Linked DNA regions of Danio rerio. The protein of the gene in region 1 interacts with the protein of each later gene in a biochemical or structural test. Links are inferred from orthologs where the notes say so. Each region holds a gene or a part of one and is shown on either strand. Other genes may lie near its edges.

The links.
Region 2: the proteins of dnm1l (region 1) and fis1 form a complex in vitro, tested with the Homo sapiens proteins (2 studies listed by BioGRID). The link is inferred for Danio rerio from reciprocal best matches to the Homo sapiens genes DNM1L and FIS1.

Annotation. Positions count from the first base shown.
Region 1 is NC_133200.1:21,480,789-21,483,806, forward strand, and holds the end of dnm1l (dynamin-1-like protein), read right to left. Parts: intron 2,964-3,018; coding exon 2,804-2,963; intron 1,109-2,803; coding exon 1,052-1,108; 3' UTR 771-1,051; downstream 1-770. UniProt on the Homo sapiens protein: Functions in mitochondrial and peroxisomal division.
Region 2 is NC_133182.1:20,824,413-20,828,688, reverse strand, and holds the start of fis1 (mitochondrial fission 1 protein), read left to right. Parts: upstream 1-1,206; 5' UTR 1,207-1,248; coding exon 1,249-1,293; intron 1,294-1,828; coding exon 1,829-1,961; intron 1,962-2,054; coding exon 2,055-2,131; intron 2,132-4,276. UniProt on the Homo sapiens protein: Involved in the fragmentation of the mitochondrial network and its perinuclear clustering. Plays a minor role in the recruitment and association of the fission mediator dynamin-related protein 1 (DNM1L) to the mitochondrial surface and mitochondrial fission.

The DNA.
Region 1 (3,018 bases):
CTTCCCATCCAGCCTGATAGAGCTTGAGAGGTGCTGCAAAGAAAGAGGAATAGGCAAAAATTCCCAAAGACAGGTGTGCCAAGCTTGTGGCATCATATTAAAAAAAGACTTGAGGCTGTAATTGCTGCCAAAGGCGCATCAACAAAGTATTGAGCAAAGGCTGTGAATACTTATGTACATGTGATTTTTTTTTATGAAGTTTTTTAATAAATTTGCAACAATTTTAACAAATCTTTTGTCACATTGTCATTATGGGGTATTTTGTGTAGAATTTTTAGGAAATAAATGAATTTAATCCATTTTGGAATAAGGCTGTAACATAAAACAATGGAAAAAGTGAAGCGCTATAAATACTTTCCAGATGCACTGTCTATCATGCACACTAATAAAGTTGCACCTCATTCACAATAGAGCGTGCTGATTGGTCCGAACCAAGTCTTTCTTATGAATTAATGCTGAACCCTCAAAGTGGTCACGCTGTACCGTCCGGTACAGACAGCCAATCTCTACGCTGGATTTTACACAATGATCTCATGGCCGTGACACAGCTTCAAATTATCTTTTGAAACTGGAAAAACGAATTTGCTTAAAACAACCAGTTTTCTTTTTTTGTGAAATATATGTGTCCTAATAGTGCTTTTAGCAACGTGGGACACACATATGAATGTCAACATCTCAAAAAATGTGTTTTGGTGGTTTTGTGACCCTTTAAATATCAAACCATGCAAAAACCGAGAAATGAAGGCCAAACAGAACAACACACCTTTGGATCAGTTTACATCACTACCTTTAATTTAGGCTACATCAGGAACACATGATAGCTCACGTACATGTAAGATCTCAGAACGGGACGGTGTGCAGGTGTGCTGTGATATGTGCTGCCCTCAATGTAGTTCACTAAGAGTCCGTTGCGTACATAAAACTATATTCAATAGACATTAACTGACAGTGCATTTTCAAGTTGGCTGTCTGTGAGATCCGAACAGAAGAGACTGACTCCGAGCGCAGGGTTCGCGTGAAGGGAAGGGGCTATACATCAGTGGCGGGACGTTCACCACAAGTGCGTCTCTCGAATCTCGGCGATCACCTGACTGGCTTTCTGCAAGGCCTGTGGGTGTAAGAGAGGTTTGGAAATATTTGCAATATTCCTTTGCATGATTAAATATACCCTTAAAAATTCAATAACTTTAAATCCTCCTAATTCACAGCTGAGTAATATTAACTCTACCGTTAGTAAATAATCACTTAATAGAAATTATTTCTATTTTCTGTTTTTCTTTAATTATAGTTTAGTAATATATGATAATTTATTAATTAAATAAAGTATGATTAATTTAAAAACTATACTGCATTACTAAACAATATAAGTTACAATTAATAATAGTTAATATTAAATAACATATTAGGTACTTTAATAATTACTTATAACAATATTTAAAAATAAATATATAAATTATTCAACATGAAGTAATAGATAATAGCATTATTAAATTAATATTGATACAAAGGCTACAATAAATAATAATGATATTATTGTGAAAGCCATTAATATGCACTACTTTGTCTAATTACAATTACCAATTATATTACCATTTTTCACAACTAATAAACAATTAAAATTAATGATTAAAAGTATTAAAAACAACTATGAATTACACATTGACAAGTATTTTGAAATATTTTACAATTAGTGTTTTATTACATTAAAAAGAGTCATTAAATATTAACATCAATGCATTATCTTAATATGAAGGCTACTTGGCACAACCAAAAATGTACATAAATATTATTAATACAAGAATCATTAGTATAATTAAAAAGGATTAACTAATGTAATTAAGTGTTTACATTCATGTACATTCTTATATATGTGTTTATTCTACAATTATGACAGTAATTACAGGCAATATAATTAAAGTAATTCTAATAATTATTTATAACCATATAAGAATATTATACCAGTTAGGTATCATTATTTAACAGATTCTCTTGCGCATCTTACAAGCAAAAATAATATTTGATTAACATTAATAGAGGCAAATTATTAAACAATTACCTACATAAAAACCTATATTTTTATTGCATGATTATTACTATTTAACCCTTTCACACGTACAATCACACCTGTGTGATTAGCCATGGCTGGTCCCTAAAACGTATGATCACACCAGCGGAATTAAAACACTGATAGCGTACGTCATCAACTGCTAAAACTCAAATCTGACGGCCCTTGCTGAAGCACAGAAAGAGGTGCGCATCGCTTGTCATAAATAACAATTTATCTATGCTTTCAAACAAATAACATTTATTTTTGGTTTCAGACATTCAAATACACATAACTACGAGCAAAGCATACCATTTAAGGTTTGTAAAATACAAGCGGATGTCTATAGAGATGGCAATAATAACTATTTTTAAATATAACCGGACGATGTGCTTTGTTCACCTAAGATACACACTGTTTATGTTACAAGAATATTTTCTCTATTCCTCTTCCAGAGAAACAGTTGCTTACCTTCATGTATTTCGGAAAAAAAATTATAAATAAACATGACGTAAATACAGCAGGTCATATCTCTCCTGCAGTTTTTGCTTAAAGGGATACAGCTGTGATCGGAAGGTTACTAGAAGTATTTATATTATTTATGAAATTACGCATACATTAATTCATGAATGCATAACTAACCAAAGTCAAAATATATGTTCTTTCACATATTGAGAATCTGAGAAACAGAAATTTTACAATATAATACGAACATTTCATGCATGAAAGGGTTAAATAAATGATGATTATTAACATCACCTTGAGCATATCAGCTGCTTCGTTGCGGCGTTGAGCCATGTCCTCAGATTCGGTGAGCAGGTCATCCAGCAGGGCAGGTTTATAAAGCTGTCCCACCAGCTCGCTCTGTAAGCTGTCCTTCACGTGGTTCACCAGGAAGTGCATCACAGCCTTTGGTACGCTGTAGACACACCGAGACAGCATCGGCACTCTGCTTAAAACACCAAAACCAAAAA
Region 2 (4,276 bases), on another chromosome or scaffold:
TCTGTATGTCACTATAGTCCTGATTTTACTGTTGATGGATCCATTTGTTTCTCCACAAAAAAAAACAATCATAAAATCAGGTCTTGTCATCTCAAATCCTTCTTCTATTTCTTATTGAAACAACTTTTTTGATGATATTAAATGGTCGTATGTTTGGTCACTCCCTCAGAAATGTTTTAACAAATAAAATTAAAGAAATGTCTTTTAAAATTATGCATGGGTTTCATCCAGTTAAACAATTTTTACAAAAATGACGTTGACGTGTCTCGCTTTTTTTGTGAGACTTCTTCTGAGTCTGTTGCTCACTTGTTTAGGGAATGTCTCTTTTGGTGATTTTTCTTTAAGCTATAAATAAGCGCATACCTTTACTGATCATTAATTCATAATTACGGTAATGTTTAGTTTACGTATTAATTTGTCAGTATTCATGTACTGTTATTGTAAAGTGTTACCCAGTAATTGCAAGAGTTTAGTCATTATATACATTTAAATTCATTATATAAAAATAAGAACGCAAACAGAACTATTTCATTTTGTAATGACTTTAGTGTATGTACTGTTATTGATTCTTAAATGTCTTACCCTCAAGTTTATATCATGTTCTTTATTTGTTTTTTTCTTCTTCTCTTTTTCGCTCTCATATCTCTTTTTCATTGACAATGTAATTCATATTTTGGATAGTAAACAAATATTGCTACAAACTTGTGAACTGTTTTTTGCAAAAAAAAAAAAAGTTTTACCCAGTAAACTCTTCCGTTTCACAATCTCAGTCTTGCTGGTTGTATTTTTTATGAAACTGCATACACACGTTCATTACATTGCCTATTGTTTTACATTCTGTGATGGAAATTATATTTTTAACAGTTTGGGGGATTACGTATATATTTTTCTCTCCATTTTTTTTCAAGGCATTTAAAGTGAACTGAAATATACTATATAATATTACCATGATATCACAATAGTAAAGAGTAAATAATAGGAATGGGAATAGTAAAATATCTGTATGTTTATGTATGCTTTAAAATAAAATGTTTATGTTCAACAAACTGAAATTTGATTAGGTGAAACGCATAGCCTTTAATATATCAAAATAACATAGAACTCGATAACCACAGAATTCATTTAAACTAACGTTAATTAAAAACAGCGAGATAGATTGCTGCCTCACTATTAAAACGGTGTGTCGCAATCACTGACTTTTATTTTGACAACGCCCTGAACCTTCCAGTGTTTGGTTTCTCTGCGAAGATGGAGGCGGTTGTGTCAGACATAGTAGCACCAGAAGATCTAAAGGTATTTTAAAGCATTTTAATCAGTCTTTTCACTGCTGTGAATCAAAAATGACTTAGATATCGTCTTGATGAAACTGTTTTATATAGTGTAATCACCGTTGTCGGGTTTATACCAAGGCTTTCGACTGACGCACTTCTACTGTACACCCCAAAACAAAAATAATGGACATTATATATGATTTTCACTCATGTATCTTTAACTCATTGTGTTATTTTGACGATCTTTATTGACGAACAGTAAACGTACTGTTATAACATCTAACACTACGGGGTTTTGAGATATCTAATACACCTTTTTTATTAGTTTATGTTTGTATAATACGGTATATACTCCATAATATTAAAATGACTCCTATCGTGTCAAATACATAATTTTATTTTCTTTAAAATAGAAGACAAAGTGTAATTAATCAGTTTCCTGTAAAAGTTAGTCTACGTTTGTCTGCCAGGGGGAGCACATGATCCTGACATCATCATCATCATCCTACTGGTCGAATGGAGTGATTAGATCCACTGACATGACTTTTATTTTGCAGAAGTTTGAAAAGAAGTATAACGCAGAGCTGGTGAAAGGACCCGTTTCCAGAGACACTACTTTTGAATATGCCTGGTGTTTAATCAGAAGCAAATACACAAATGACATTGTAAAAGGCATTCAGCTTTTAGAAGGTCTGTGATTCAGCTTTTTTTGTTTGTTTTTTTGGTTTGTTACTGCCTGCTTGTTCGTGTTTGATAATTCACTCAAATGTTTTCTTTCACCAGAACTGGTTCACACAAGCAAAAAAGATGACCAGAGAGATTTTCTCTTTTACCTTGCTGTTGCAAATTACAGACTTAAGGTGGGTGATGAATCCTGAATCCATGTTTGGGATGATGTTGTCACTGATGATACATTCTTTCAGTTTTACTTGATTTGTCAAAACACTAAACCAGACTTTTATTTAAAATTTTAAAAACCATAACGCCATTTTTGAGAAAGCTCACCCAATTCATTAAACTATAAACACAATTCCCCTGCTTTGACACAAGAATTATTGTAAAATTGGTTTTATAATCGCACATTCACACTTATTAACTTTAGAAAAATATTCTTTGCAAGTTTTAAATATGGAAATCTTATTAGTAGCTTGGGTTGTCACGATACCATAAATTTAGGCCATGATACTATACCAGCAAAACAAAAGTATCACAATAGCAAGTATAGCGGCTTTTGACGCACATCACTTCACCTTAAATGTTATTTGTTATTTTGTAGATAACTGACCAACAAAAACTGCATTAAATATGAGATACAAATTATACCAAATGAAATTCATTACAGAAAGACAATTTTTTAAACAAAATATGAGGTAAAAAAATAGTGTTTTCTTAGTGTTTCCTATTGCTATTTTCATTTTTTCTCCTCTATTGTATTTTTTATTTTCAGTTTTATCTAGTAAGAATCCAAAGTAATAATAAATTTCACTTTAGTAAGTTGTTCTTTTTAAGAGATTGTCGTGGTCGTTGTAGCTAAATCATATTTGCAGGAATAGAAATGAACTGATTCAGATGTGTGTTTGAAGCATCAGAAAATTTTAATAGAGTGTTACAATTACAATAAGATAAAGTAGTCTATTGATTATTTGCTGGCACAAATGAATGAGATTTAGGGACTTTTCCACATGCTGTTGACTATTGTTGAACCATTAATGATAATACTACCGTTTACAAACTAGAGTCACTGCCAGTATTTTGGAGCCTTAGTATCGCGATGCTACCAAAGTACCAGTAAATTTGCAACCCTATTAGTAGCCAATGATTATCAAAGTACAACATTGTTCACAGTCAATTAAATAGTGCTAATGTTGTTTTGAAATCATATGTGCATGTATTTTGAATGTTGAATGTGCTGGCAGTCGGCTGCAGTTTTTTTTTACTTTAAAACTTTTGTCCTAATGATGTAATAAATTTGTATTTTAAAAATGTAGCCTTTTAGTAATTTTTTTATTGCAATTTTTTAGGAAATATTTTTAGTACATCAAAAAGTATGATTATGATGACATCTGACTAGCTAATCCAGCAAACAAATCACTAAAATGCAGTATTTAAATCTCATAGTTAAATAGAAACTGAGGCGTATAACTGCAAAAAGGTTCACTTTTTGAGAAAAAAACTAACCACTCCTTTCACCAGGCTGGCTACAGGCCTGAGGACTGTTAGTCTCCGATGAAATTGTGTATGATAATATATATCATATGGACGGAATAAAAAAGTCCATCATTTCATTATGCTTTATCGTTTATATAATGGTGTCACAAAATAGATTGTTTACGGTTGTATTTTTCAGAATTTATATGAGCACAATATTACACTTCTTTACAGAGATGCAGACAGAAACATAAATAACAGCATCGTGGGAAAGTCGCAATCTTGAAAGTAGTGTAGTACTGGAGGAATTTGTTCTACTGACACAGTTTAACGGCAAATACAGTGCTCAGCAAATACGAGTACACCCCTCACAAATATTTCTTTTAAATTCATATTTTTAATAGGAAGCTATACAATATTATATTTGTGCATATACATTAGTTTAGTCAGTACTAAAGCCAAATATGGAGCTTATCTAACAAAATAACTTATAACGGTCCAAAGACTAGTACACCCAAATTTATATGTTATAAAAAATATTAAATATAAATTTAAAAAGAGAAAAAATCAAGAGAAGCAAAAAAAAAATTAAGATAATTGTATTACCTTTCAATTTCTAAATATGTTTAGTGACAAAATATTATTTTAATAAATATATCTGTTTAATAAATCAGTTTTTTTTAAAAGCACCAAAATACATTGCCTATATTCATTTTCAAAATGGCATTTACTTAGATATGCAGTGGACTGTAACTTTGTGTTTGTCATGTTTTATAAATGCTGAAGGTCCCAGAATAATTTCTGGTTTGACTATCTATATTTACACAACTAACTAGTTTAATTATTCAATACATTAG